Pelodiscus sinensis: one gene and its partners. The protein of the gene in region 3 interacts with the protein of the main gene of each other region in a biochemical or structural test. Links are inferred from orthologs where the notes say so. Each region holds a gene or a part of one and is shown on either strand. Other genes may lie near its edges. The genes, in order: YES1, HCK, KHDRBS1 and LYN.

Region 1 (7,903 bases), on a different chromosome or scaffold from region 3:
GTGAATGCTCTCTTTCAAAATAGCACATCACTATTTCGTTGTGCTTTTTGTGTGAAGACACGCTATTTTGAAATAAGCTTTTCCAGAATATCTCTTCCAGAAAAGCTTATTTCTAAAGAAGCTTGCAGTCTAGACGTAGCCTCAATGTCCAGGGAGGTTAAAATGTTCCCCTACAGGTTTATGTCTGCTACCTTTCCTGATGTCTGATTTATGTCCATTTATCCTTTGGCGCAGAGACTGTCTGGTTTGGCCAATATACACGGCATATATCACATTAGTGGATGTGCAAGTGGATGAACCCCTACTGATGTGGCTCACGTGATTGGGTCCTGTGATGATGTCGCTTGTACAGATTTGTGGACAGAGTTGGCAACGAGATTTGTTGCAGAAATTGGTTCCTGGGTGACTGTTTCTGTAGTGTGGTATGTGGCTGCTGGTGAGCATTTGCTTTAGGTTGGGGAGCTGTCTGTAGGCAAGGACTGGCCTGTCTCCCAATGTCTATTTGAGCAAAGGATCATTTTCCAGTACAGCTTGTAGATTGCCAATGGTGCACTGTAGGGGGTTTAGCTGAGGGCTGTAAGTGATAACCAGTGGTGTTGTTATTTTCATTGTTGGGCCTGTCCTGAAGTAGGTGACTTCTGGATACTTGTCTGGCTTTGTCAATCTATTTCTTCACTTCCCCGCTGGGTATTTAAGTCGTAAGAATGCTTGATAAAGATCTTGTAGATATTTGACTCTGTCTAAGGGATTGGAGCAGACATGGTTGTATCTTAGGGCCTGGCTATAGACAATGGATCATGTGATGTGTCCTGGATGGAAGTTAGAGGCATGTAAGAAAAAATAGTAGTCAGTTGGTTTCTGATAAAGGGTGGTGTTTATGTGACCATAATTTATTTATACTGTAGTGTCCAACTTAAATACCCACCTGCTGAGCCAAATATTTAAAGAGTTATACTCTTATCAGTATTGGAAAAATCACAATAAAAGTAATTATCAACAGATTTAAGGCCAGTAATAGGTAGGAGATAATTGTTGATTTGTATATGTAATGTTCAATAGCTTTGATTTGTAGGACTTTTTATGTTTTTTTTTATCCACTTTTGTGACTGTGAATTCTTCCCTTGTGCAGACTAAAGTAATAAGAAACATGTGAAATGATGAATCATGAAACTGAGATTATAGGAAATGATGTTACTTCAAACCTTTATTGTATTGCATTGTGTTCCTTTGAACCTTTTCTATTTAAGGACTCTGATCAGTAAGCAGCAAACTCTCCCCTCAGCAGGAGTTGTAACTGAAGCACTTCTGAAAGACAAAAGATTGGGTTTTCTGTTTCACTTAAACATCAAAAAAATTACAAAGATTAAAAAAATAAAATATAGGGAGCCTTCTAAATCCTCTTCTCATTTGCAAATGTGGGGAAAAAATAAAGCAATTTTTAAGAGTCTCATAAAGAATTTTGTTATTGAAAAATGTAAAATCTATATTTAAAAACTTGCTCACTGAAATTGGTCACCGTCCTAATACAAGTTAGAGTGGGGAACAAAAAGAAGAGAAAATAAAGCTCTGCTAAGACCTGGTCTGCAGTGCTCCCTCTAAACATTTCTCTCACACTTCTAAAAAGTGTCTGCTTCTCCTAATACTACTGTGAACACTCCAAGGCTTCTCTTCCTTCTCATGACACCCTTCAATGTATTGCTGCTTTTCCTCATACCTCTCCCCACAAACTTCCAGGCCTCTCTCCCACCAGTGATTCCTGTCACTAACAAAATGCTTAAAACTTTTACCCCAAACGTCTACTGATCTTCTCTTCCCACCCCAAAGAAGTCCTCAGCGCTGTTCCTTGTACCTACAGAGGAGAATCTTAGATTTATAGGACCAGTAGAGATCTCAAAAGTTTGTTAAGTTCAGTTCCCTGCATTCATGGCACTAGACCTGACAGGTGTTTGTCTAACCTGCTCTTTTCACAACTTCCCTGTTCAATGTATTCCAGTGCTTCATCACCCTGACAGGAATTTTTTCCTGAAGTCTAACTTAAACTTCTCTTGATGTAATTTAAGCTAATTTCTTCTTGTCCTATCATCAGAGGTTAAGAATAATTTTTCTTCCTCTTCCTTGTAACAACCTGTTAGGTATTTGAAAACTTTTTGTCCCCCCTCTCAGTCATCTCTTTTCCAGACTAAACAAACCCAATTCTTTCAATCTTTCCCCATGGGCAGGGCTCGACATATAACACAACCTACTCGCCCATGGCGAGTAGATTGCAACCCGGAAGAGCCGGGTTCGGGCAATCTGCGCATTTCGGCGAGCCCTGCCCATGGGTGATGGTTTCCTTAAAACTTCTTCTCCAGACTTCTACTCATCATCTCTTCCATCATAAAGAAATCCTCAAAGCTGTTCCCCATATTTTCAATCATTTTTGTTGCTCTTCTCTGGACTTTTCCCAATTTGTCCACATCTTTCCTGAAATGTAGCACTCAGAACTGGACACAATACTCAAGTGGAGGCCTAATCAGCATGGAGAAATTATTTCACTCTGCTTCTCATATCTTACAACATTCTACTAATACATCCCAGAATATTTTCTTTTTTTGCAACAGTGTTACACTGTTAACTCTTTTAGTATGTGATCCACTATGATCACAGATCCCTTTTGCAGTACTCTTTCCTAAGAAGTAATTACCCATTTTGTATGTATGAAACTGATTGTTCTTTCCAAAATGGAGTATTTTGCATTTGTCCTTAGTAAATTTCATCCTATATACCCCAAACTATTTCCAGTTTGTCCAGATCATTTTGAATTATAAACCTATCCGCCAAAGAACTTGCAACCCTTCTCAGCTTGATATTGTTCGCAAACAGTATAGGTGTACTCTATTACCTAAATCACCGATGAAAATATTGAACAGAATCAGAGCTGATACCCACGGAAGACCACTCATTAGGCTCTTTGTGAACCATTGATAACTACTTTGGAATGTTTAGCCAACCATTTTTGCGCCCATCTTACAGTAACTCCATTTAGGTTACCAAATACAAGACGGTATAAAAAATTTTAATAACGTCTATATGCCATATGTACCACCACTTCTTTCCTATCCACTAGCCTTGTTACCTTGTCAAATAAAGATTGGTTTGATATTTGTCCTTGACAAATCATGCTATTACTTATCACGTTAGCTTCTAGCTGTTTGCAAATTTATTACTTAATTATTTGCTCCATTATCTTTCTGGGTACAGAAGTTAAGGACAACCCTGGGAATTACAGATCAGTCGTCTTATTTTTCTCTTTATATTTGGCCTTTTCCAGTCTTCTGGAGACTCTCCTGTATTCCACAGCTTCTCAAAGATAATCACTAATGGCTTAGATATCTACCCAAGTCAGCGCCTTTACTATTAGGAAGTAGTTCATCGGACTCTGATGACTTGAAGACATCTAACGTATCTAAGTAAATTTTTAACTTGCTCTTTCCCTATTTAAAGCTTCTGAACTCACTTTCACTGCCATTAACTATGTTAAGCATCCAACCACCAAGAACCTTTTTGGTTAAAACCATAACAAAGTCATCATTAAGCACCTCTACCATTTCCACATTTTCTGTTGTTTTACCCTCTTGAGTAATGGGACCTACTTTGTCCAGGCCTGCTGACAAGGTGTGTGCGTGTAGAGGGGAAGGGACACAAAAGAGGTAGTTGCTTGGGGCCCAATGATTCAAAGGGGTCTGAGGTTCCTGGCCACTGCCACACCTATATTGTGGCAGTAGCTGGAGCCCCTGGCTCTTTATATTGCTGCTGAATGCCACATCACATGCCCTGGGCAGCTCTGACGGCTGGCTGCTCCTGCCGCATCTTCTGTTGGAGGCCTTCCCACTTCCAGGAGCATGGAGCCAGCTCCCCTGATCTTGTCCTTGATTTTCCTCATGCTTCTTATGTATTTGAAAAATGCTTTCTTATTACTCTTTCTCTGTAGCTAATCTGATCTCCTTTTGTGCCTTGGCCTTGGCAGAGAGAGGCAGAGAGAGAGAGAGAGAGAGAGAGAGAGAGAGAGAGAGAGAGAGAGAGAGTGTGTGTGTGTTCATCTAAATTCTACTTTTTGAGAGGTTCCCTCAATCTTTCCAGATTACACTATCCCCCTCAGGCAAAATGCAGGACTAACACGGCTACATTTCTATTACTACCCCCTCAGAAGTCTGATTTGACTTGTCAGAATAGCCCCACGTTTCACCTAAAAACCTCCACCCCTTTTGCTTGTAAAACTAGCTAAATATCTAGATGAGCTGTTAGCCTCTGGAAGACGGCTCCGTACCCCTGGCTGAGAACCGCTAGAATACTCCCTAAAAAGGCCTCCAACCTGCTCCACCGCCGCCTTCCCCCAAACCCCTCCCTGCCTCCTCAGCCCAGCCATCCACTGCTGGCAGCTCCCCTGCTCCCCAGAAATCCCTGAGGAGCTACGGCTCCTCCTCCTGCTCATACCCAAACAGGGTTGCCTACCCCAGGGCCCTCCCCCCATCCACTGCTTCCCCCCCCCCAATCCAGGATTGCCCTCAAGCGCCAACCCGGCCTCCTAAATCCCCTCCCCCGTCCTCGGGGGCACCTCCTGCGGCCGGGAGGCCCCGGTGGCTGTAAGAACGGCGCGGCCACCGCTACTAGGGAAGGCGCCGCCATGTTAGGCCGGGCCGCTGAACTCGCGCTCCGTTGAGGGGGAGCCGCTGGCGGGGGCGGGGAGCGCCCCGGCCCCCCGGCTCCTCCCCGCGGCCTCTAAGTCGGGCTGCGGGCGGCCTCGAGGGGGAGGTTCCCCGGGCGGCCGCAGCGCCAGTGAAGGCGGGGGAGGCAGAGTCCGGCCGGGCAGGGGAGGCGGGGAGCCCGGCGGAGGAGGCGGAGGCGGCGGGTGGGGGAGTTTCCTTCTCCTCACAGCGAGTCTCCGCACGCAGCGAGCGTCCGGCTCCCTCCTCCCCCCTTCGCTGCCCGCCCGGCGGCCCCGGGAGGAGCAGGGGGCTCGAGTCCGTCCCCGCCGGAGCCGCTGCGGAGAAGCAGGTGAGGAACCGGACGCGCCTTCACCCTGGAGAGGCGGCGGCACCCGGCGAGCGCTAGGCCCCGGCCCCCTCCAGCCCCTACACGCGGCCGCCTCCTCCGCCCTGGCGAGACCCCTTCCCCCGCTGGCTCCCCCGTGTCCCGGGCGTTAGGCTGGGCGACGTCCCGCCCCCTTCCCTTCTCCCCCTGCCCACTTGGATTGACTGAAAGTTTCCCGGTAACTTTTCCCTGCCCGGCGGGGAGCAGAGCCCGTGTTTTCCCGTGCGGGCTACGGCGCGGCTGTACCCCGGGGGCCCATGTCTGAGGCGCGGGGGGCAGGAGGGTCCCGCTGGTGGCTCCCCTTTGCCTTCACGTCCCGTCCCTTGCAGGCGCTGTCAGTCTGGCCGCCTGAAGCCTGCTAACAACTGCTGTGGGGAGAGGGGTTTCTGCCTTCGCTGGCTTGGTGTGATTGAAAACCACAACGTGTTTCATTGTTTGGCGAGGGGGGAAGTGGGCAGAAGAGCAAACGAGTTTATTCAAGGCTCCACTTTCACTTACCACTCGTTTCGGTTTCCTCCCAGCAGGCGCCTTGGTGGAGGATAGTCAAGGTTTTCTTCTTTTTTGTTGGGGTTATTCCAGCCTATGTTTTACATTGGTATTGGGGAAGAGCGTTTGCTCCCGGACTTTAATTTTAACCACCTTGGTTAATGAGCGGTATACAGGGTTGAATTCCTGCTTTTATCAGTTCAGTTAAAACCTATGTTAAAAGAAGCACTGTGCCTTGGGGCTGTAAACAGGCAAAGTCAGGAAATGGAAAATTGATTTCCAGATCAGCTAACTTGGCCCTACTATATTATGTGGTATGGTGTAGTCTCTTCATTGCTAGACTTATTACGTTTGTGTGTCTAGCTGAGGCATGGTTACTTTACATTTCTTACTTTAATTTTTCAGTCATAACACTTCCCCAAGTTTTCTTTATACGTATATTCTTTAAAAAATTATATATAGTGAGAATGCATAGGCTTGTCCTTAACATTATACATTCTCAGTAGTCATATTGATTTTGCACTGCATAAAGTTACTCACATGAGTTCCCACAAGATAAGGGCCACAGGTGTGGGTATCTTATGCCTTGAGTTAGATAGTGCTCTTACATATGCAATTCCAGACGACTTGTACACACACAGATAGGGAGTGCTGCATTTTACATTGTGTGAGGTAACACTATAAAACTTTATTCTCAAGACAGTTTTTCACAAACATACCAAAGGATTTTTGTCCTAATTTAAAACTGAGTTTATGATTATTTGAGTTAAAATTAGCTATTTTTGAGAGATCCTTGAGCTAACCTGTCAGTTTGTAACAGAGAGTATTGGTAGGGAATGAAGTTGTTTGCTTTTTTCACATGCTGGCAGTTTCCTACCCTAAATGGAATTTGGTGTGATTTCTCTCACAGAATTCACCATTGACTGTAAAACCAATGTGAAACTTCACTGTAAATCATTATTTTTTTCTCATAAAATTATAAGAGTCTGAGACAGACATTTTTTATGAAATTGCTTTCAGGTAATGTTGTTATTACTATCAAAGTTCTCTAATACAGTTTTAACACAGCTAAATGTTTCTGCTAACTTAATAAACTGCAAAATTGACTCTTCCTGAAGAGTAGAAGTTGGGTTTCTCTTAAGCGAATACATAACTTTATTTACAAATAGTCCCACTGAGTTCATGTGCATAAAACTAAATATATACAAATGTTTTGTAAAATCAGGAACTTAATATGTAGTCCCAATCTGAGGAAGTGTTTGTGACATAAATGGAATATACACATCAAAGAAGGACAGCGTCAAGTTTCAAAAAAAAAAAACAACAGTTTGATTTTCATAAATTTTTCATTATATTGGACTCAAATTCTGAAAGTTTGAAGTTGTCCTTAACATAGATCAGTATCAGTGGGAGAATAATTTGTCTACTATATATTTTAGAGTTTGTCTATTTGATCAAGAATTCCTCAAAACAGTAAGAGTTAGAACTAACAAATTCAATGTACAGCTTCCTCTTACCAAAACTTAAAGCAACGTAAAAGTTTGGTTGTGCAAGGCAAATGGGATGTTGGAATGGGATTGCTTTTCATAAAACCAAACAAAAAAAGAGACAAACGCCAAAGCAAGTTCAGTCCTCACAATTAACACAGCTGAGAGAATGTTGAAAGAGACTGAATCAAGATGAGCCATAAAATAAACCTTACAGAAAAGAGATAAAACAGAGACATTTGAAGTGTTTCTTTGTTTTGGCACTACTGAGCAAAGCCCGATAAATCTGCTGGTATTTTATATTTTCAAGGTGGTGTGTTTTGATTTTTTTGGTCCACAATCTATACCTATGACTAAACTGTATTTTGGTTCTATTAAAGAAAAGAACTAAATCTATTTTTAGATTTAAACTGAAAAATTTCTTAGAGGTGGATGAGGTTATATCTTTTATTGGACCACTTATGTTGGTGAGAGGGACAAGCTTTCAAGTTTACACAGCTTTTCTTCAGGTCTGGGAAATTAACTAAGCTGCTGTGGGTGCAGCAGGATTGTTTGTAAATTATGTACACATTAAAAAAGCCATGAAGGCTGTGAAGTCATGGTTTTTAGTGGCTAGCAAAGCTATGAATCTTCAGTTCTTAGCCCCATCTTTTAAAAATTTTGCAAGTTTCCTTTGAGGATGAGGACTAAGTCAGATATAGAGTGACTGCTTTCTTAAATACAGAAGCTTTAGGGGGTACCCAAGTTAGTCTGTACAGGATAAACTTAAAAAACAAGAAGTTTCTTAAATACAGTTTATAGTCTTTAAGGGAACAATACTGCAATCGCAGTGTTGTAGAGTATAGGGAAACCGTTATTGT
Region 2 (7,997 bases), on a different chromosome or scaffold from region 3:
GTGGCTGCGTGCTGGGGGGAGCCTCCGTCAAAGGGGGTGTCTGACGTGGGGCCTTTGAGAGGGTGGAACGGTTCCCCCAGGTGAGTAAGTGACTTTCCAGTGCTGGAGGCCACCTGCCAGGAATGGTGCAACCCTGGTGACTGATGGTGACACACGTGCCCCATTGCACAAGAGCACACGGGGCTGGCAGGGACGGACTGTACAAGTCTGAATGAGCTATTGGGCGGCCGGGAGGGGCGTGTGAGAGTCAGGCGTGCCCGGCTGGCGGCGGGGGGGTGGCGCATCATTTCCTCTCTGGGCAGCTGATGGACTCCAGCCGAGGTCTCCCAGGCGGCGGCGAAGCGCAGCGCTCACTCTGTCGGTGCCACCAATGTGGAGTAATTTGCATTTCACAAAAGGAAGTTCGCACCCTGCGAGTCAACTTCCTGCTCCGCGACCAGCCGGCGCTGTTACCCCCATGCAGAGTCTCGCCCCCGCCCCTGCTCCCCCGGCTTCGGCGGCAAAACCTCCTGCGGGAGCAGGGCTGGGCGCCTCCCACGCTCCTGGCCAGCGGAATTGGATGTATCTGGCGAGGCGGTGGGGTCCAGGGGTAGCTCCTGGGCCCAGCCGCCCAGCTCCGGTCAGCATTTCCTGCACAGGGTGCGCCAGGCCTGCGCCATGCAGGGCTGGACACTCCCTCCTCCCCCGTGGTTAAAACGCCCAGGGCCTCTATGCCAGCGGGTCAGCAGGGCTGCTCTGGCTCTAGTAGGCGGCCGGGACGCTCTGCCCAAGCTCTATACAGCCCCGAGCACCCCTCCGGCTGGCCCACCCGTGGGGGGGGGAGGGGGGCGCTGCTCATCCCTGTCTCTTGCCTCAGCCTCCGGCACAGGCAGGGGGAAACCAGGAGCAATTGCAATAACAAAACTGCCCTTTCGGCTTCCCCTTCTCCCCCCCCCCCCGGGAATCCACCCAGCCCAGCTGTGACCCCCACGTCGCGCTCCGGCCTGTGCACACGTTGCATGCTCGTGCCACTGCTGCCAGGAGGGGGCTGGCGCTAGCTCTTGCCCCGGTGCCTTGAGGCCCTGCCCGGGACTGGGCCCCGCTGGGCAGGGGCTGCACAAAAAGCGAGCCCAGCTGTGAGGTGCTTCCCGTCAGCGGCTCTGGCCAGTTCCCGGCATTTGTCGGAGCACCAAGCCGGCCGGCGTCTGGGCTTCCCCGGGCCAGGGCATGGTGGGAGAGGCCTCCCCGCCTCAGCCCCTGTTTGCACCATTTCCTCCCGCCGCCCGCGGGCTTCATGCGGAGCAGTTCCCTTTTCTCAGCGTGCTGCACGTACAAAGCCCTGCCGCGGAGGAACAGGAAAACGGTTCCCGAGCAGCCCCGGTACCTGCCGCTCAGAGCACAGGGAAGTCCTCGGTGCTGACTGCGCCCGGGGCTTGAGCCTGCCTGCTCGCTTGAGACCAGCTCTGTTACCAACCCAGGCAGGAAGAGGTGGCTGGGTTAGTCTGAGGAGGCCCCCATCTGTGGTTCACTGGCCTGCTCTGCCACCCGTGCAAACTAGGGATGTTAACGACTAGTCAACAGGAGAGTCGACTAGTTGCATCCCCACACATTGCTTCCTCTATCCGATAGAGGCAGTAAGGGGGGAGAAGAAGGGGTACTGCAAAGCAGCAGCACCACACGGAGCCCGGGACCCGGGGCTCCGCCACTTTGAAACGCCGCCGTGGCATTTCAAAGGGGCAGGCCCGCCCTATCGACTAATCGAATCATTGAGGCAAAAATGCATCGACTATTTGATGACTCAATGAGACGCTACGTTACACCCTTCATGCAAACCCAGTAAGGCTGAAAATGTGACATCATCATGACTGCTTATGGGTTTGTCCCACACGAGACAGAGTTGAATGACAAGGCATGGGGTGGCGGGGGAGGTGGAGAAATCTAATGGAAAGCTAAAGCCAGCTCCCAGTTATCTGCCAGGAACCCCGTGAAGCAGTCTGGCTTAGCGGGAAGAGGTGCGCTGTGCCCACGAAAGCTCTTGATAGTCTCTGGTTTTGGTTAGTCTCTGAGGGCACGTCGACACTAGGAAATCATTTCGAACTAATAACTCCCGCAATAACTATTTCGAACTAGCGTGTCCACGCTGCCAGGAAGTCTTGAAATGAGTCTGAGGAAGCTCCCTTAAGGTCAGTGTGCTGCGAGGCAATCTGAGGTGCGCCTCGGAAAATAACAGAGTTCAAAATGGCCACCCTTAAAGGGCCAAGTGACCTTTCTTTTCTTTTCTTTTCTTTTCTTTTCTTTTCTTTTCTTTTCTTTTCTTTTCTTTTCTCAATAACTTCCCCTCAACCTTTTTTTTTAAATTCCCCTCAACAAAAAGTGGACACCCTCCCTCCCCTTAGCACCTCAGGGAGCACTGGGGAGTCGTTACTTGGAACGACTCTGGGGAGTCGTTATTTTGAAAGAGCAGCAGCGGTGCGTCTACATGGCCGCTCTTTTGAAATTCGCGTTCTTCCCCGTGGAAAGCAGGAGTTGTTAGTTCGAAATAGGCCCCTTATTTTGACATAGCAGGCTTGGCAGTGTGGACGCGCCGCTTATTATTTCAAAACAAGGGGAGCTGCTTTGCAATGGCTCCCTAGGGTGAAGCGGGGCGAAGGTGCTACAGGACTACTCGCTGGTTTTGTAAGCTACAGACGAGACTTCTAGCTTAGAAGGGTTTCTCTGTCCTCCCCTGCACAGCTAGACGAGCAGGTGTGTGGGGTACTGGTGGGTGCTAACGGCCGGCGATGTGTGTCACCCAGCCAGCCACAGGAACGTACACGGAAACGCCGGCTGGCCGTAGTTATTTATTTAAAACAACAAAGAAAGATGCAAATGAAGATGCAAATTTGGTGTCATTCTCAGGACTCCCGGGCAGCTTCCTGTAAGGCCGTCAGTGTCAAGATTTGGAGCAAGCCTGTCCCGTCTGTGTGTCCCTCCCAGACATCTGTCCTTGAGCTCATGCTTTCTCTGCTGGAGAATTGGCAAACTGTGTTACATTAGAGCTGCATCCCTCCCCTAGCCGGTGAGACACAGACCTCAACGGCTCAGGACCAGCGTTCCCTGTCAGCTGATCACTTGGGCGGCCCCCCTGGGGGAGATCCCAATGCCTCCCACCTGGTTAGCATAGCGCCCCCAGCTGGCAGCGTGTATTTCTATGGGTGGTGCCCCTCTGCACATGCCTCAGTGCACAGAACAAAATGTATTCCGCACATGGATGGAAACAATGAGAGTCAACATTGCTCAGGGGCCAAAGGAGTAATCAGGCGTCTCCACAGGAGAAACAAGCGTGTGAATTCAGCGGGCTAGTTACGGTTGATAGGGATGTATTATTCTCACAGCACAAGGGCTGGCCAAGTATTTTACCAACTGCAGTTGATTAATGACAGAGCCCAAGCACCCAGATTGGGTGATAATTAGACTCGTTAACAATTAAATCAAACAGCAGTTTAAGCCCTGGGTTTTCAAATGATGGGTCGTGCCCAAGGACAGGGAGAGGGATGTCGGGCGCTGGGGCTCGTGCTGCAAGGGGATCAGGTGAGCAGTGGGGGGCTGAGGCAGCTCCCTGCCTATCCTGGCCCTGCAGTCTGTGCTGCACCCCGGGGGGGGGGGACGCAGAGGGATCCCTGCACTGCCCCTACCCCCAGCACTAGTCCTGCACTCCCATTGGCTGGGAACCTTGGGGCTGCAGGACCAGGAAAGGCAGGAAGCTGCCTTAGTGCCCCCTCCCCCCCCCCCGCTGACCGGAGCCGCTCAAAGTAAGCCCCTCCCCCATCCCTGACCCCTCCCCAAAGCCGGAGTCCCCTCCTGGACTCCAAAGCTCCATCCTCAGCCCCACCCCGGAGCCCACACACCAGTCCCACAGCGTTGGGAAACATGGAACAACGTGCCCGTTTTTTAAAGAACGTCGGGTCGCCAGGATCAGCCCGGGACCGTCCCGGGAAAACGGGCGGGATGGGCGCTGTCGCCGGCGCGCTTGCCAGCAGCGAAGAAAACCGAACCCACTTGAGGCCCAAGCAGTCGGAGCGGGGCGCGACTCCCTCTGGCCTGCAGTTTCCTGCTCCGCTGAACTCAGCTTCCCCTTCCAGCTGTGGTCGCGCCTGCCGGTTCCTTCTAGGCTTCTGCCCCGCACTGGCCTGAAATGCTGCCTGTCAGGAATTCCTTTCGCCATCAAATTATGCTTCCCGGTGAACCCCCCCTCCCCGCCCCCCATGGGGTCCCTAGCAGCAAGCGCCTCCTGCTCCTGTCTCTTCTCCGTGGTTCCCACACGCAGGCCGAAGGGGCGAGCGAGGGAAACTTGCCCGGGTGGCTCAGAACGTGCTGACCGCGGTGCTATGCATGGGAAAGAGGTGGCCAAGGCCGGGCAAACACGAAGGTGCAGGAGTTCACTGGTGGCTCCATCCAGGCGGGCGGTGCCGGAGCGGCTCCAGTCTGGCTCCGGGAACTGGTCAAGAGCCATTTGCAAACAGGAGCCGTGCTGCAGGCGGAGCCAGCGGGGGTGAGCTGAAAGTGTGGCAGGAGAGCGCCCCATGGCGGCGAGGCCGGCCGAAGGTCCGGACAGTCTCCTGGGGGTTACGAGGGCTGATGTGGATGGCGTTCCCCGGCCCGGCGCTTTACACCTGTCAGGACGGCAGCCCTGTGTCTGAACGTCTCTACCCACCTCCTCCCTGAGCAGTCACTGTGGGACCAGGGGATGCTGGGGAAGGAAGGCTGCAGCCCCAGTGGGCCTCGTAAATATCAGCCAGAGAAGAAAACAGCCAGGACCCTCCACCCCCGGCAGCATCTGGGCTACACGGCCTAATGCAGGCGTCATGGCCTGCAGCGCAGGGAGGGGAAGTAGAGGGGCATTTCCTCTTTTCTCCTCCCCAGAGGCTGTGTGCTAGTTCGTGTTTTAGACGAGTGACCTTCCCCTGCCCCCCCCCCCTCCGCCCCGGTGACGAGACAGGTGCCCGCTGGGCAGGCCGGTGCAGTTAAGCAAACGCAAACTGTCTCAGGGCTGCGGCTGTGGCATCGCCGTCTATTTCAGGACGGGCTCCGCACGCCTGTTCCTTCCCCCCGACGCTGCGCTCGGGGCCGCCGGGGCATCGCCAAGGGGCCCGTGACCGCATGGAAAGGAACATTTTATGCCCTTTGTGACTATCGTGCCCTGCGATCTCCGTCTGCCGGGGACCACACCCGCCTGCTGGGAGGCTGCTAAAATCTCAGAACATGGCCTAGCCGCTTGCCCTGGTCTCTGAAGGGCGCCTGGCCAGAAAACACTGGATCCTGCCTCGCTCCTGCCGGCCGAGGATCGCAGAGCACTTTCTAAGGTGAGTGACGGCAGCATCCCCATCTTGCTGGAGCCAAGGTTCAGGGGTGAAATGGGGCGGAAGCCACATACAGCGTCACTAGCAGCACAGAGGCCGGTGTCTTGTTCCCAGGCTGTCAGGTCAGGGAGTTGATCCACCCACCCCGCCCCCCCATCAGAGGACACGGCCGCAATTAAATTCATGCCGTCTTTGATCTGAGGACAGGCCCAGACTGGCCTATACGACTCGATCTAACGTGAGGTCCTTTCATAAGCCTGGGGTGCTTTAGACCAAGTTTACTGCCAATCAAAATGTAACCCCGGGAGCTTGTTATTCATGTTACAGTGCAGCAATTAGTGTAGGTGTGTGCCACTTGCCTCCATTGTCCAGCATCACTACAGCTCAGCTGTGTGTCATATCACCTGTAGTACCAACGGAGAGTCTTCTTGGGGCGCAGGCAGCGAAGAGTGGTGATGTTGGAGCAGAAGCAGCTGAGTTTGGCCCCCGTTGTAATGACTGAGGTGTGCAGGGTGGGGACAGGCGTGACATCCTAGCTGGCCGCAGTGGGAAGCGAAGTGCAGTGAGATATGGAGACTCGGCACATGGGCGTGGACCCAGCTTTTGGGTTGGGGGAAAAAAACAATCGCTCCTTACACTTAGCACCTGGTGTCATTCTCCCTTTGGGGGTCTTAATCCTCACCATCTCCTCTGCCCATTTGTCATGTACTCACCAGCCTCTCAGGAACCAGCGTCAGCTCCCGGACCCACTGGGGAGGGTGAGGCTGGCAATGTACAGATTACAGGATCCAAAGCGGCATCTTGCAGCATGGCTACTGTGCAATACATCCCTGACTCCCATTGGTGTGGCTAATTGCCAGCTGGAAATACATGGGGGAGTCTAGAAATGGCATCGGGACACCAGCCACACATGTCTGTGTAATGAAGCCCAGCAGAGCCTGTGAAATATACAGACAGTGATCGTGAAAGGGGGATGTGTGATGGTCTTCCATGGCTCAGGATGTTGGAAGGCAGCAACTGTAGTGTCTGTATGAGATCACACACACGAATTAAGGTTGCAAAGTCAAACATGCAGACTTTAGGAAATACCTGCGTTAAGGATGCCTGTGCAACCTTAATTTACCCCCTTGTGTGTGTGCATGACAATACAGCCTTTAATTATGTGATGACATATTTGTTTCCACAGGCCCCTGACCTCATTCTGTGCCTCGGCCAGACAGGGCTCACTCAATGGGCAACAATTCAACATTTTATTTTATTGTTCTTGTTTGATGTATGCCCCCAACCCTTATATACCACTCTTGCAGGGGGATGCAAAAGGCGGTTGACTGTAAGCGCCACGTGCCAGAGGGTAGGGAGCAAACTTCTTGCAGGATGGGGGCAGGGCAGGAGGAGACTTCACCCGCTCCCCTGGCCCCCAAGCCCTGATTGGCCGGGGGGGTGGGGAGCAGGTCTCCTCCACACAAGGGTGTGTCTAGATGACAGGGTGTTGTCTACAAAGTGGACTTTTGTTGACAAAACTATACCTGCGTCTACACTACCACCGAGTTCTGTCGACAGTAAGTCGACAGAACGCAGCCGTTTTGCCGACGGCAGTAAACCTCATTCTACGAGGAATAACGCCTTTTGTCGACAGAGCGCTGTCGCCAATGGGGGCTATTGCAGCCACACTCTGCTTTTTCAAAAGAGAGCATCTAGACACTGTTGAAAAAGCGGCTTGCTTTGTCGACAGAACTGTCTGTCGTCTAGACGCTCTTTGTCCACAAAGCCTCTGTCGACACAAGCCTGTAGTCTAGATGTACCCTTAGAGTCAGCTGCCAGCTGTTCTGAACAGCTGGTGGTTCTCGCCGGGGCAAAGACTTCACGTGGTTCCCCACCCACAAACCAATCCCGGTCTACGGGTGAGGAAGCATGGAAGTGCCCTGGCCCCGCCCCTTCCACCTGAGGCCCCGCCCCTTCCACCTGAGGCCCCGCCCCTTCCAGGGCGACTTGAACTCCAGGTAAAAAATGATTACCCACCCCTGCCCCTCGTCAAGCCCCACTCTGAAAGGGGAATTACTCATTTCCTCATAGCCCTTCTCAGTGGGGCTTCATGCTTCTCATTGCATCTCCCTCAGATGGGGAACAGAGGCACCGAGAGATTGTGAAAATCTCATTTAGGGTGCCCAAATTCAGAGGCCTCGCACCGGATTTTGCAGCGTATGGAGCACGGCCGAGAGCTTTATCTGCAGCGGGGTCGGCTGCGAGTGCTCACCGCTTCCACAAATCAGGCAGGGGGGTCTCATGGGGGGCACCCGAAAAACGAGGAGCAGACAGTCAGTGACCACCCGGGAACCGCTCTGGCTTGAAAAAGTGCCACAGTCCCGGGGTCTCTCCAGTCCCCTCTCTGTTCCCGCAAGGCCGCCCGTATGAAGTCTCCCAGCCATCACTTGTCTTGGGCAGAGACTTGCCTCTCTCCCTCCTAGCTGATGATTTTTGCTCCCTGCCTTCCCCGTGCTATCCTCAGCAAGCCGGGCTGCCCACACCGGCCAGCGTCTGCACTTGGCTTTCTCTCTGAGGGCGAGGAATGAAGTCCCAGCTGTCCCTGCACTGCCTACCTCCACCACGGATGAGGAGCAAACTCAGCTGCTTCTGCTCCAACACCACAGATCCCTGCTACCTTAGCCACAGAAGACTCTC
Region 3 (7,631 bases):
ATACTTCCTTACTCCAGTGGTCACCAACGAGTAGATCTGGATCTACTAGTAGATCTTGGAGCCTCTGATAGCCAAACCAGTCAGGATCACCTATCAAGTGCCAGTACTTCAGCTGCCCTTCCCCAGGGAGCTTCCTACTTGTGAAACAGAGCAAGGAAGGGAGATGGGGGGCTGATGTCAGGGTGCCTCTTCTTCCACTCTGTAGTCTATCTCCACAGAACTGGGAGAGGGGAACAACAGGGCCTGGGATGAAAGGAGTTTCTGGCTGCTTTGGAGAATGGTGAAGGGCCAGGGCAGGGGTGAGCCTGCCTTAGCCCCACTGCAACACCACCCAATAGCCACCTGTGGTAAACAGTGTCCAGCTGGAGCCAACTCTGAACCCCTGCCCCAGTCATGTACCCCACTATACCCCAAACCCCTGCTCTAGCCCTGAGCCCCCCCAGACCCAAACCCCCTTCTGCACCCCAGGCTCAACTCAGAGTCCCCTCACACTCCAAATCCCTTAGCCCAAGACCAGAGCCTGTGCTCCAACCCTCTGCCCCTGCCTGGGGAAAGGGAGGGAGAACGAGCACGAAGGAGGCAGGACAAGGGTATTTGGGTTTGAGGTAGATCCTGGATTGCACTCACATTCAAAAAGTGATCTTGGGTTTAAAAAAAGTTGGAGACCCCTGCCTTAGTCACTGAAATGGTATTCAATTGATTGGTTTAAGTTGAGTACCACTGCAGGTGAATGGCTCCTTAAAACTAAGCCAGTTGTAGAGCTGGAGCGGGAGAGGGAAGAGGGAGACAGGGACACCACCTTTTCGAATGTGTGAATGGCTCCTTAAGAGCGCCACCTGGGGAGACACTTGCCAACCCTTTTGAAATGTAATGAAGACACTACGGGTCACAACCCATAGGTTGGAAAACCCTGGTCTAGTCAACAGGTTATCTAGTCATCTTTAAACATTGTTTTCAGAAAAAACATGATTTCAGGAAGACCCTTTAATTAACCTGGAAATAGCACATATCTAATTTATCATAACCAAGAGGAATATCAGTGGCACCAAGATACAAATTCAGAATGGAGCCACATCAAATCTCTAGTACAACGAAGATGACAGCTTTAAACAGCACTTTCCTACTTTTACATGAAGAGTTGAGATGAGTGACGTAATGTGTCTACTATATTAACACTGGCAATGCCATATTATAACTGCTTTCTAATAATGCAGTTCATAAAGAATGCATTATAGTTTCACTAGTATCAGATATTTTTAAATGTAACAATCCTAACAAGGGGCTAAATTATTCTAATCTAAAAAATTATATCCTTTATATGCAGTTTACACTTCCTTTTCTTTTTTTACACAGTAAACTGTTGGTTTAAAAACGAACAAGTTAAAACACTAACAACTATTTTTAAACAAAACTGTCTACTTGATACAGCTATGTGTGACCACAGTGCAGCTGCGCTGTAGTGATGTGGAAAAATCTGAGCCGCCAGGCGATTGGACAGTGATGATCAGGGGAAGAGAGTGCTAGCCTAGTCACAGAACAAAGACTACCATGGCCATTTCCATTTAGTTTCATCAGAGGCATGAAACAAGCTCTAATACAGATTTTCATAGTGGTGAATTAAAAAACCCCACAATTTCACATTTCAAAGGAGTAGACTACATAAAAAAACCGAGTTTACTGCCGTACCATTCTCTTTAGTCTCCTCTTTCCCATGGATGTAAAGAGCCAAGAGAATCACGCTTTCAGAGAAAGAAGTTATAGGTTCGTGTTTGATCCCTTTCAAACCATGAATTAATCTTTGGGGCTGGATGCTATTTAGGATACACCCATATCGACCCGGATTAAAACTACCCATCCATCTAACGTGCATTAGAGCAGGAACGAGCGCAACGATAAAACGCGCCCCACCCCAAGCCTTGGCGACTGAGCTTTTCCACGCGCTGCTTCAACCCTGCCGAGGAGGCAGTTTACAGAAGCCACCAGGAGCGAGCCCAGGACAAAAAGGCGACCGCCTGCAGCTCGCGGCGGCGGCGGGCCCGGAGGGAGGGAAGCGGCCGCATGGCAGCCAGTCGGCGGCCTCCTGGCTGCACGAGGATCCTGCCCCCCGGGAGCAGCCAGTCACCTCCCGGGGCGGGGAGAGCAGCTGTGAGCGCCGAACAAAGAGCGGGGTCGGCCAGGACTGGAGCCTCAGCCCCTCCCCGCCCCGGATCGCGGCCTAGGGAAGGGGGGAGGTGTTGCGTAGGCGGCGGCGCCTGGCGCCAGCAGCAGCACAACGTGGGTGACAGACACACAGACCCCCCCCCCCCGCCTCTCCCGCGCCCTTCCCCCTCCCGGCCTCGTCCCCTCCCCCACCCCGCGCTACCTGCCGTCAGCAGCTGCATGGCGTGGGTGAAGGACGGGTCCAGACTGTCCTTCTCGGCCATGAGCTCCGGCAGGTACTTGTTCTCGGGCTCCATCTTGACGGTGGCCCCGGGCAGGAGCGGGGTGGGCGCGGCGGTGGGGGTCTGCGAGGCGGCGGCGGTGGCGGCGGGCGGGAGGAGCGGCGGCGGCTGGGCCCCGGCCCCCCGGGCCCCGCCTCGGGGCGGCCGGCGGGGCGCGGGCCCCCCTTGCCGGGCGGCGGGGCCCGGAGCTCTGCCCAGCCGGGCGGCGGGGTCCTCGCGGCGCTGCATGCCCGGAAAGAGGGGGCGGGGGGGCGGCCGAACGAGCGGGGGGAGCGAGAGGGCGAACAGGATTGCCACACACCGACCGCCGGGGCTCCCAGGCCAGGAAGTGAAGGGCCGGAAACGGCTCCTCGCCCACTGCGCCTGCGCTCCCGCCGCCCGCTGCCGAGCGGCGTGTACGTTCGCCCCGCGCCCCCGTCAGAAGCAGCCAGCACCGGGCATGCGCCGCCGCCGTCGAGAACAAAGCGCCGAAGTGAGCCGACGCGCATGCCCAACCGTCACCCTGCGTGCCCTGCCCCCGCGTTGCGCGCGCGCGCACGCGCAGCGCTCAGCCCGCGAAGGCGAAAGCGCGCGAGACTGGCGGCGAAGGGAGCTGCGCCCGCCGGAACTCGCACGCTCCGCCGCCAACAAAAGTACCCAGGGGAAGCAATACGCCTGCGCAGCACGGTGACGCCCTCCGGAGGTACACTGCGCGTGCGCAAAACAACGCCCGGCGTCGAGAACAAAGCGTCGGCTACACTTGGGGCGCATGCGTATTGTCCTCTCCCCCTCCCCCTTCGATCGAATACTGAGGGCGTAGCGTAGTGGCTGTAGTGCGCATGTGCACGTCTCTCCCCTCCCTCCCGCACCCGGGAATGTGGCACGTGCTGTGGTGCGCATGTAGCCCTGGTGCGCAGGGCGCCACGTGGTCGGGTTTGGAGCCGAGGGGAGAAAGCGCGACAGGAGCCAAGGGGAGCATGGGGCGCAGCCGGGAGGAGGGGCCACACCCCAGGGACAGGGGGATTGCAGGCGGGGGGGGTGTTGTGGGGGCAACCACGAATAGTGGGTGGGCCACGTGAGTGGCTCTCCTTCATCTCAGTAGGTCACAGCATCCCATGGCCCACTGGGGATTCACCGAGGGTTGCCAGATGGTTCAACAACAAATACCGACCCCCCTCACCCCCAAAAAGGGGAATAATTCTGAGAAAAAAAGGGAGGGGGGGCACTGCCTTTAAATGGCTCCTCACTCCCCTGCCAACACCAGACATGGCAGAGGAAAATTGTGCCTGCTGGGCTTGTGTTTGAGAGAAACAGGAAATACCAGACTTTTCACAGGTCTGGTTGTTGTTGTTGTTGTTGTTGTGTTTTTTTTTTACCGGACGAGGGACCTGAATAACGGACAGTCTTGGTGAAAACCGGACACCTGGCAACTTAAGATTCACCTATGGGCCTGCAGGTCCCCCCCCCCCATGTGCTTCTCATGCACTGGGGCACCAGAGCCCCCCCCACCATTCAACTGCTCCTCCCCTTCCCGCCTAGCACTTTCACAGTGGCACTGTCTCACGTCCTCCTGCTTCCTGTCCTCCCCCTTCCTCCCAAAACTGGAACACAGTGAACAGTTGATTAGCAATGTTCCAGCTCTGGGAGGGAGGGGGAGCCGTATCAGAGCGCAAAACAGGCAATTTGCTGGGAGGGAGAGGGGAGGCATAGGAAGTGCAAGGCTCAGGTGGCCTAGTGTGTAAGAGGTTCATGGGGGAGGAGACATGGGGGGGAGGCTTGTCTGCAGGAGCCCCAATAGGCTGCATGTGGCGCGCAGGCCTCAAGTTGCCCACCACTGACATGGGGTGAGGGCAGGGTGGGTGTTGTAGGGATACTGGTGGGGAGCATGGGGTATAGTGGGGACACAAGGGATTCAGGTAGGGGGGTGCTGTGGGGATACAGGGAACAGTGTAGGATGGGATAGGAATGTGTAAGTCAGACCACACACTCATACAGACTCTGATATTTACAGCAAATCAACCAAAGAAAATTGCCACTGGAGGGCTGGTGATCTAGTCCTAAACTCATGTCATCCTCCCTAAGCACTAGCAACAGGTGTTGAGTTGGCTGTTGCCTTCTAGGGAAATTATAGTAGGCACAACACGACCCCTTGGGCACTCTTGCCTGAAGGCACTTTAGTGTCTTGCATTCGCCTAAATTCTAAGTGGTAGAGTAACATAGTTTTGGAAGTGGATCTAAGATTCTTGGAAGGGAGGACATCAGAGATTGATCCAGTTCCAGTAGTGTCCAGCAACTCAGACTTTGCAGAGCACCCTAATAAGCTGTTGGAAATGAGCTGAGTCCATGCAAGGGAGGAAAAAAGACTATGGGAAGCAGCTGAATCTATTGGGGGTTTATAAATCCCACACATAAGGTGATGGTGACAGGAGGCCTAACGCTGAGCTAATGTGGAAAGAACTTTCTCCTTGCAAATCCCCATGAAATCAAGTAACATTGCTGAGTCCAGAGTGAATCTGGAGAATGAGCACAAACCTCAGGGGAAGAAGCCTGGCACACAATTTGGGTGGGCATTCTGAACTCAGATTTCACCAACCACTACAATAGCCTTAAAATGGAATCAAAGACAGTCCCATGAGGTACTCCAATCTATACTGCCTCTCTGGTATTCTTTCCTTTGTGACAGATGGGCCCTTACATAAAAAAACACAACAATATTCAGGTTACTTCCAGTCTCAAAGGACCACTCACTTACTCCAGCTGCTTTTTAGAGCCCACACCAAAGACAGTGCTAGCCAATCCTACAATTAACTAAAGATTTATTAACTAAGAAAAAAAGTTAATTAAAAGGTTAAAACAATTAAACATACACAAACGAGTTACAGGCATGTAATAGAAGTTGCTGTGATATGCAAGTTCTATAAGTTATTTACAGAACCCAAGCTAAGCAGCTGGAGATCCCTTGTTTTTTTCCCTCTTGTGTTCCACAGTGTCTTCTGTGGTATCTATGGGTGTTCTGTTCAGCAGAAGATGACACCTCTTGTGAAAAACTAGTATTCCGCACTTGGTAATGCTTCTCTCCTGACTGGGAGTTTACTGTATCAGAGCAAACATTTAAATACTAATTTATAACATGGGATATAGATATTATAAGTGACATTAACGCATGCAACAACTCAAACATTCCATAAAGCCTAAATACATTTCTATAAATCTGATACCTATTGTAGCAATACTAACACACAAGTGGACCAGACTGGTTTCCAGCCATGCACTTGGCAGTGTTCAGTTGAGGCCTCAGGCCTTTGGCATGAGCTGGCACCTGGTCTGCCAGTAGTACAGTTGCACCAAGGGATTTTTCAGCAGGAAAACATTGTGGGTCACTGGTTGCAGGGATCTCTGCCAGTGTTGTTAATGAAGTCAGTATTCCTTTACCGGTTGGCAGGACCCCGTTCCTGGAAGCTACAAACCTCCATGCCACTGTGACCAGCCATTCTCCCATAATGAATGGATTGATGGGTTCATAGTTCAGGAACACAGTGGAAAAGTGGAATACAGGATGTTGTGGAGTCCAGGACTTTAATAGGATTTTAAAAAAAAAAGCTAAATAAATTCATGGAGGTTAGGTCTTTCAATGGCTATTAGCCAAGATGGGTAAAAATGGTGTCCCCACCCTCTGTTTCTCAGAAGCTGGGAATAGGTGACAGGGGAGGGATCACTTGATGATCCCCTGTTCTGTTCATTCCCCCTAGGGCACCTGGCATTGGCCATTGGGATACTGGGCTAGATGAACCTTCGGTCTGACCTAGTCTGGCCATTCTTATGAACAGTTTGTAAAAGCTATGGCTACTGTAGAAAATCCTGCCATGCCTGATAGTGTGTGGGTCTGTCACGCAAGGGTTCACTCAGGAGGCTCTAGAATAGGGGTGGCCAACCCAAGGTTCTTTCCCCTCCCCCCCGCAGGTGTGGCTCGTGAAGCCCCCCCCGGTGGCTCAAAAGCTGCCCCCGCGCCTCCCAAAACGGCCCTCTCCTCCTGTCTCCCTGTGCTAACCTAGGCACGGCGCAGCCATGAAAGCTCGACCAAACGCGACTGGGGACTCCTTTTAAAAGGGCAAAAGGGGCAGTCCTTTTTTTTTTTTCTCTCAGCAACTTTGCCCCGGCTCTTTGTGCTGAATCCACCATCCGGGCTTCCTTCTCTGCCCTCTTCTCTGCTTTCACTTCCTGATTCAGTTGCGCTCTCCCTTTCCATCTGTCCAATTCAATTTCACATCTCTGACATAGCTCTCAAATGCTTCACCCAGGATCCTATTCACCTCTCCCTGCCTGTCCTTCCCAGAGCACACGTCTTCTATGCCATCCCATCGGCCCAGCACCTTCTGCTCCAAACAATCCATCCTTGCTCCTGCTAACGGGCCACCATGGTGCCAGTCATTTGCCTGCTCTTTCAATAGGAAGATACAAGAGTAGACTCTCTGTCCTCCTGCACACTGGTTCTGCAGTCCAAAATCAGCCCCCTGCTACAAAGATTCTTCTGTCCACCTACCTGCTGCTTCTCGCTGGGTCAGATTACCTTCTTTGATGGAAACCCCGCTGCTGTCAATATAGCAAGCATCTACACTATGGTGCTGCAGCAGGACAGCTGCGGGGCCAAAGTGGTGCTTCTGGTAGTGTAGACACACCTTTAGACAGCAGAAGCCTGAGCCTGCCTGCCTGTACAGGGCTGTTTTCAAAACAAGGCCGCTGATTCATTTCTCTCTGTCACTCTATGTTTTTCTTTCCAGGCATGATCATGTCTGTTTCACCTCCCTAACTCCATACATCTCACACATTACCAAGTTGCCTGTTAGCTTGTGTTCCCTGCCTCTCTTCTCTTTATTGGATCCTGTGGTTCTCCCTTAATTTTTGTTCTTTTTTTTGCTCCAACTGCCCAGTTATGGCTGCCTAATTCCAACTCCATCTTAACACTCAGTCTCTTGTTAAGTCCGTATTCTATGTGCTTCTTGTGCAGTCAGAGAGTAGAAAAAAAATTTTGCTCTGTGTTTAACCCCAATACCTGCTACACATGCTGTAGAAGGGTGGTGCTTTGGGGGCTAGTATAAATGTTAATTGGGAGTACACACGGCTTGGCGATAACATCACAGCTGGGGCTGTTGTGCTAGGACTGTGCTGAGAGCTGCAGTGATGACAACACACAGTAGTTGCCATTTGTATTTG
Region 4 (7,651 bases), on a different chromosome or scaffold from region 3:
CAGATGAGAAAGAGTAGAGGAGAAGCCTTCAGGACGGGCTCAGCTGCTTGTTGCGAAAGCTCAAGGCTGGAACTGAGAACTGTTTTCTTGGCAACTATTAACTTGTTGACTTAATCAGCGTGGGATTACCTAGAGTTCCTCCCCAAAAGCTACTAGTTAGCTCTAGGGTTGTAGATCCTAGGCATCACTTACCTCACCATCAACTGCAAAGTATTTCTTTATTGTACTGGGATTATTCTTTATTCTTGTATTTATTTGGGGTGTGGATGGATGTGTTCAATATCAAGCGTTTGGGGCTGTGTTTCTAAATTTACAGTATACTTACCTTTGATTTAAACATATCTGGTCTCTGGTTATTCATTCAATTACCAGTGATAGAGATATGGAGTGCCAGACGGGTCTCACTTCTGGGGCAAAGGCATGTAACACCATTCAGAACCTCAATCTCCTAAATTGTTCAAGTTACTATGTCTCTCAAGTAACAGAGTGTGGGTGTTTTCCTCGACAAAAGTGCCATTGGATTGTAAATGCTTTCAATGTTTTGTCAACAAAAGATACGTTTTGGTGACAAAACATGCCAGGGTAGACCAGGTCTAAGACATCCACACTACAATGCTGGCTCTGCAAGAAAACGAAGAAAAAAGTCAAGATATATTGCTTTTGCATTGGTCTTTTTTTTTTCCTGTTAAAAACAAAAATAAACTTGGGGAAAGACAGGAATTTTTTAAAAAATGAAATCCAGAAGACTACCAGACTATGAAATAGATTATAAAATAGGATAACAATTTGGACCTAAACAACTGTATATACTCATTCATTAGTTTGTTAGTTTATAAGTCGACCCACCCTAAGATGAATAGTTAAAAAGAACAAACCAATGGGGTATGACCTTTTCATAAGCCAATTCTATATTTCAGAGGTTGGCAAACTTCGGTTGCCGATTTGTCAGGGTAAGCTACTGGCTCATTGGGACATTTTGTTTACCTGGAGCATCTGCAGGCATGGAGCCCTATAGCTCTCGGTGTCTGATTCACTGTTCCTGGCCAATAGGAGCAGCGAGAAGTGGCAGCCAGCAGGTACCTTGGCCTGTGCTGTTTCCAGCAGTTCCCAATGGCCAAGAATAGTGAATCACAGGCACTGGGAGCTGAGGGACTCCATCCCTGTGGACACTTCAGGTACACAAAATGTCACGGCATACCAGTGGCTTCCCCTGATGGGCTGGGTACTGAAGTTTTCCAACCTTTGATCTACAATGACAACGTAGACCTGTTGATAAGCCGACACCTACTCTTTGAGCCACTTTTTTACCAAAAAAATTCAGCTTATCAACGGGTATATATGATATCTGACAGTTCTTCAATTAAAAATAAAACTAGGAGAAATCATTCAACCAATAACCATGTAAATAGTGGAATTTCTATAGGGCAAAAGTTCTCACTTGGCAATGTTAGACTCAAATTTCAAACCCCTAGTTCCCACTTTCCAAACCCATGTGTTTTAATGTACCTTTTATCGAAGCCCAATCCACAAACTGAAATATGCAAAAGCCCCGTCAGATTTGTTGACTTATTATGGAATGTTCTTCTTCGGGTGATGTCCCTGTGGGTGCTCCTCTGTTGGTGACAGGTCATCCCCGGAACCGCAGTTCAGAGTTTTTCTTAACAGCTATTAGCTGGACCGCACATTCACTGAAGGCAGCTCGTGCTGTTGGCGGTTTGCCACCATTCATATGCAATCCTGCTCCCCCTTTCAGTTCCTCGCTAACCACCCTCAATCACAGACAGAGGGGAAAAAAGAAAGAAAAGCACTGCTTAAAGCCCTGAGAACCGGGCATCGTAGAAGTGCCATCAGTGTAATGACCCCATACCGGCTTTGGACAGGCATGATGCCTGTATACGCTGTTTGGGGGAGTCGCATACCCTCAAAAAATGTGATCACTGCCAGAGCCTTACGACAAGGGCTACAAAAGACCAGGAGCTTTGGCGCCATATGATTCTTTTCAAGTGGGCTCTGCAGGCCTCAGAAGGGTCTCAGCCCTCTTTGACTCCAGGGGATCTGTGGAAACACAGATCTGTGTCTCCCACACCTCACAAATATCTCAAGGCGAGGGTCTCCCTGGTGAGGTCGTTGTCCCTGACCACTCCCCCCCATCAAGCCAGTGGAGACTCGCCAGGCACCACAGACAACTTGGTGCCAAGAATTCTAACAAGAGTTGCTAGAATGGCACCCCATGCTCACTCCAAGCTGGATCGTTCATCGTTGGCACCAGAGAGATCATGATGGCGAACCCCGGCACTGCCGCAAGTGGCACCACAACACCCAGCACTGAGAAAGAGTGGGGAACCATCTGTCACAGCCCCACAAGTCTTCAGCACTGCCTTCTGATGTGCTAATATCAGTGCAAATGCCTCCCCCGCCAGACTCGGCAGCTGTGCCGGTGCTGCATAATCACACTGGCCAACTTGAGGGCATTCACACAGCTGATGTTGAGAATGCTCAGCCTTTGCTATGCTCTCCCTATCGAGTTCCAGGCTACATTATGTCTCCGTTGTTACACAAAAATGCTGGAGTAGCTGACACATAATCAGAGGAACACCTTCTCCTCACAACACTCCTCTCCTACTACATCTTGTCATTTTCACCATTACCGAGAGGGACCTTACCACCCACAGTGGTACCCTGACTGACATTTTTCACCTCCCAATTGTCTGCCCCATTATCCACCCCAGTGGGCCCCATGGGACTATTGGAGACCTTGCAGATGCCACTCTACAGGCCCATCTGTGTCACCAAAGAGGCTTCCACCAGCCTCCCTATCCCATACCCTTCTGAATACCGCTGAATCCGAAGACAACAAGGAGGATCAATTCTCAATGAGCACATTGTTACACGAGCCCCGTAGCTTTCCTCGAGGAACAGTTCATCCTTATCTCCTGATGAGGCAGTAATACCTGAAGATACCCATTCTACTGACGACCTGAAACAATCTCAGGAACTTTTTAAGAGGGACCACTACTCAGGAAGTTCAGCTCCAGGAGGTAAAGGAGAAACAGCACCGTCTCCTAAAGAACACCTATCCCTCCTCTCAGGGAAGGATTGCATTAACAATTGATGAAGCAATAATGGAGGAATCAGACACATCTTTGGTGGTGGATGCAGTGAATCAACATTCACAAGCTCCTCAACTTAGGTCAGCAACCAGTGACAAAGAATATAAATAACTAGCTCTATCTGGCAAAAAATATATATTTCTCTGCCACCCTGCAGCTCAGAATTGCAAACTACTCTGCATTGCTAGCCAGCCATGACTTGGATGATTACTCCAAGCTTGCTGAGCTCATGGAGCACCTCCAAAAGATCCATCCTCAGGACAATAATTTGTGAGAGGCACACCATCGCCTGCACAGCACTACTATCAGCAATAGATAGTAGCTCACCAGCAGTGGTGAGGAGAGCCTCCTGGTTGCATGTAGGAGGTGTGCTCAGGGAGCTTCAAAGAAAGGTGGAGGATCTCCCTTTTGATAAACAAAAGCTGTTTGCTGCTAATACAGACAAGATCCTGCATAGCAATAAAAACTCTCGCACCCTCAGCATGTACACGCCACCATACCAGCAAAAGACTTATCTGCCATACGACAGGAACAAAGACACTTACTAGAACTGACCACAGCATAGACCACATGACTAATAAATCCAGACAGCAGCCTCAGAGGAAGCGTCAACCTCCCTCTCTGATCTTTCAATATATTTTTTATTTCTTATTAATAAATAGCCTATTATGGGAAAGGAAACTAATTTGGACTCTGACCCTTATGTCCTGGACATAAGTTGAATCATGATCAAAGCAAAAATGTTTCCATCCTATTACCTGCCATAGCCACCTCCTCCATTTAGCCTTTCAGATTCATAAGATATTGGAGTAGGGACTGCCATTTGCTATATGTTTGTGCAGCACCTAGCACAATGGGGTCCTAGCCTGGTTAGCCTCTAGTCTAGAGCTATTACTGCAATAGTAATATTCAGGAGTGCTAACAGTGCTGCTCTGCACAGTCATACCACTCTAGTTTCCCTGTCTCATGAAGGGCAGTCATGACATGTTAGCAACATATTTAGCTTGCATTCCTTCTAAACTTCCCTAGAGTCCTGGGTGCTCTAGTGGAGCTAAAATAGTTCATTATCCGCCAGGGGAGAGAGGGAACGGAAGAAAATGCCAGAATCCCTTACTCTTCCCCGACCCCATGCAGTCTCCTCTCCTAGGTAGCAAAGAATGAGCGGAAACAGGTGGTTGTGGGGCTCTCTAGAGCAGGGCACGCCACGCCCCCTCCCGTTAGCTGGAGGGAGGGCTGCCTTGTTAAAATGAAACCAGCCCCTAGTAATCTTCCCCCTCCTGAAATCCCTTCTCATTTATTCCCTGCTGCTGGTGGAAATACCTCTGCGAGTCTTGTTTGGGTCTTTGCTTCAGTCTCCCCTCTTAAACTCTCACCCAGTGTTTTGATTTCTTGATCAAAAGCTGAACAATACTTAACATTTTTCTTAAAAATCCTCCCTTCTCTCCCCCATCCCCTTTACTGATATTTATGCAAATTCCCTAATACAGTACCAGGAAGTAAACTGAAAACTCTCAGCCAACCCACTGAAACCAAGCGAAGTTCCTCTTCTGCTCTCTGGGGTGGCAGAGGATCGGCTTAGCTGCTCTGGACTCTCTCTCCCAGCTGTAAAATCCCGTGGTCTTCAAAAAACCAAGCGAGTAGCTTTTCCTCTTCCCGAGGCTCATCAGCTGGTTTGAGTTTGAACGGCAGCCTGGCTCCTGCCCCAGCTCTGTGGCTGAAGTAACTGTGGAGTTGACTTGCTGCTTCCAAAGTTTCGCATTCAGGGAAGTAAGTAAGCGTCTTTTGTCTCCTAATTTGGCAGTGGGTAGCTTGTTTGGGCGCCGGTGGCCAAGTGTAATTTCTGCGATCCTTTCCGAGCAGCGGGAAATGCAGGGAACAGCCCTGCTGGCAGGGAGCGGACTAAGGGGGCTTCCTAGCGTTTGTCAGAGGGAACCACTGAGAGTTTCTCTCTGGGGATCAGGGGTAAGGCATCTATTTTGCAGCAGTCCTAGTTGCTATGGAAACTGTCTCCCCTCCCCCTGGATTTACCTTGCACTGCAGATCAGAGGGAACTTTCATAATAGACACTTGTTTGTCTGTTGGATCAAACAACTTATCACAGGAGCTTGGGTTTGTGCTTTGTTTATTGGCTCTCCTAACACACTGTTAGCAACACTGGGACTTGGGGGCCAGGACTTGCCCCATAGATGCTGGAACTAGAGGTGCTTCCGCTCCCAGTGGTTTGAAGTGGTTTCCATTATGTACGGGGTTTACGGTTTGGTTCCAATCTGCCAGCTCCGCTATACAGATTGTTCCAGCACCTCTGACCTGCCCTATTGGCATACCAATCAGAATAGGGAAAACTCTACCTACGTATTGGTATAATCTTCCTCTAGCCTCCTATCTCCCCTAAAATAAGGAGAAGCAAAGTCTTCAGGGAGGAGAAAAGGGGGGCTGATTGAGGATATTATAGTAGTATCCCTGAATTAGCTAAAGGGCGATTGATGTGGCAGGTCATGAAACCTGATCTTTCCCATTCACTGAAGTGAACTAGAAATATTAAATGAGCCATGTCTAAAGGGTACAGCCAGTTCAAAAGAGGAAGTGTGACATTAATGGGCAGCTTGTGTTTCTGCCCCTTAAGGGAATGGTTGTTTGAACCTCAGATAAAATACATACAGCACATTAGTTAAAAGGAAGTGAGAGTTCTTTTCGGACTGGTTAGCTTTTCCTCTAGCCTGGGGGAAGGGGTGTAGCTGCAGCTTAAGCTTTCCTGTATGGATGGTTAGTTTCAGCTTTTAAGAAAATACAGCAATTTATTTAAGAAGACTTAAAAAGGGATTGCATTTTGATGTTTTACTATGCTCTTCAGGGATATATTGTCTTCAGCCAGTCTTGACTATTCCTAATTAAAAACAAACAACAAAAGAGTTGGTATGCTAGAAAGAAGGTAGTATTACACAATGCATTTTTCTTAGTCACTTTCACAAGTTCAGACAATAGGCTTGGTTTAATTAAGAGGAAAAAATATGACCTTAGGGTATTCTGTATTAAACTTTGGATTTTAAACCTACAAGCATATAGTAAAGTAATTCTGGAGCATCTTCAATTTAAAACTGCTCCCTCTCAGCTAGATATTGAAGTGTGCTTCTGTGCTGGAAAAAAAAGTTGTTGTGGTGTTCATTTCTAAATAAAAAGATACTTTGTAAGCTGCCAGATCTACAAATTCAGCCTAGAATCTGAAAGCCAAGCTGGTTCTTTCTCTGTCAACATCATCAACTAAATTTTAACTCTGCAGTTAGAACGTAGTTGACACCCCCTGTTCTTTCTCATTCAGGAATGAAGCTCATTTCAGAGGTCAAAACTAGTTTTAGTCACTGAAATAAAGAGCTATGACTGAGAAGACACAGAGAACAAACAAGTTGAATTAGAAATTGCCGTTTTTACTTTCGTTTTTCACAATGGAAGAGCACTTTAGATGTTTTTCAGCCAAAAAAAACCCCTAAACACTCTTCTCTCACACTCACTGCAAATCTCCCATTCCCATCCTACTCACCCAATCATCTTGAAATATTACAAATTGAGGGGGAAACTCTTTACCCTCATACAGTATGATTCCTGGGTGAGTTGGCTGTAAATGGTTGTATTGTAATATCTGACAGCAGATAAACTTTGGAACAGTGTAGTAACATTTACCAAGTGATAATATAAAAACCTGCAATTTGGAACTGTCTTAACAAAATAATTAAATTATATTGGGGAGCCCAGTTTTAACACAGAATTAACTGAATTGCTTTCATGTGAATCTTTCCTGTTCTAGTATTGGATGCAGAGCAGATGTGATGGTTTATGTTATTAAGTGGGGACTTCACATCTTCATAATAAGTAGTGACAACATTTCACCTGTGGATTGGAAAACAGTTTTCTCACTAAAAGTAGAAAGGATGAAATGAACTGAGAATACTGCCTATTAGGAGTGTATGGAAACACAGGAGACAATTAAAATTCATGGATTATTCAGCCAATAGGTCAAGAAAATGAGAAACCTATTTCAAAATTAATATTATAAAGCTGGCACTGGATAAAAATTACATAAAAGTTGAAATGTTTCTTGATTTGAGGATGTTTTTCATCAGTAAATGTTGAGATATATCTTGCTTATTACATCATTACAATATTTTGCCAATTACTGTAAATTGCTGGATGTAAAGGGGTTCCGCTTTTCCATGTACCCCTCTGGGTAAGCAAGACTCCTTGTTACAAAGACACAAACAATGGCAGAAAGGTCTTTTTTAATATTTTGATCAGTAAAATCATTCAGTGGCTGTTTTTGTAGACAATACTTTTGACTGCAATGATTAACTATCTGCTAATACTAGGCATTTTTTACTCTATTAGCATTACAGTTTTCAGATGCGTTTCACCTGGTCCAAACTAGTGGATGGATTTTCGACAAATTTTTAAATCTTTGCTTCCTGATTCTGTCTCTAGAAATGGCACACCTTGTTCGGTGACCCTCTTGCAAGTTAAACTGCAATATGCCCTTTTTATAAGGGAGACCT

What was found.
Region 1: of the proteins of KHDRBS1 (region 3) and YES1, one has a biochemical effect on the other in vitro, tested with the Homo sapiens proteins (2 studies listed by BioGRID, with this or other methods). The link is inferred for Pelodiscus sinensis from reciprocal best matches to the Homo sapiens genes KHDRBS1 and YES1.
Region 2: the proteins of KHDRBS1 (region 3) and HCK interact in a biophysical measurement, tested with the Homo sapiens proteins (2 studies listed by BioGRID and IntAct, with this or other methods). The link is inferred for Pelodiscus sinensis from reciprocal best matches to the Homo sapiens genes KHDRBS1 and HCK.
Region 4: the proteins of KHDRBS1 (region 3) and LYN form a complex in vitro, tested with the Homo sapiens proteins (3 studies listed by BioGRID and IntAct, with this or other methods). The link is inferred for Pelodiscus sinensis from reciprocal best matches to the Homo sapiens genes KHDRBS1 and LYN.

The regions. Positions count from the first base shown.
Region 1 is NC_134712.1:79,910,685-79,918,587, reverse strand, and holds the start of YES1 (tyrosine-protein kinase Yes), read left to right. Parts: upstream 1-4,899; 5' UTR 4,900-5,034; intron 5,035-7,903. UniProt on the Homo sapiens protein: Non-receptor protein tyrosine kinase that is involved in the regulation of cell growth and survival, apoptosis, cell-cell adhesion, cytoskeleton remodeling, and differentiation.
Region 2 is NC_134728.1:1,500,030-1,508,026, reverse strand, and holds the start of HCK (tyrosine-protein kinase HCK), read left to right. Parts: upstream 1-4,984; 5' UTR 4,985-5,321; intron 5,322-7,997. UniProt on the Homo sapiens protein: Non-receptor tyrosine-protein kinase found in hematopoietic cells that transmits signals from cell surface receptors and plays an important role in the regulation of innate immune responses, including neutrophil, monocyte, macrophage and mast cell functions, phagocytosis, cell survival and proliferation, cell adhesion and migration.
Region 3 is NC_134735.1:3,883,463-3,891,093, forward strand, and holds the start of KHDRBS1 (KH domain-containing, RNA-binding, signal transduction-associated protein 1), read right to left. Parts: upstream 3,015-7,631; 5' UTR 2,670-3,014; coding exon 2,363-2,669; exon of another isoform or gene 2,344-2,362; intron 1-2,343. UniProt on the Homo sapiens protein: Recruited and tyrosine phosphorylated by several receptor systems, for example the T-cell, leptin and insulin receptors. Once phosphorylated, functions as an adapter protein in signal transduction cascades by binding to SH2 and SH3 domain-containing proteins.
Region 4 is NC_134712.1:64,564,166-64,571,816, reverse strand, and holds the start of LYN (tyrosine-protein kinase Lyn), read left to right. Parts: upstream 1-4,647; 5' UTR 4,648-4,881; intron 4,882-7,651. UniProt on the Homo sapiens protein: Non-receptor tyrosine-protein kinase that transmits signals from cell surface receptors and plays an important role in the regulation of innate and adaptive immune responses, hematopoiesis, responses to growth factors and cytokines, integrin signaling, but also responses to DNA damage and genotoxic agents.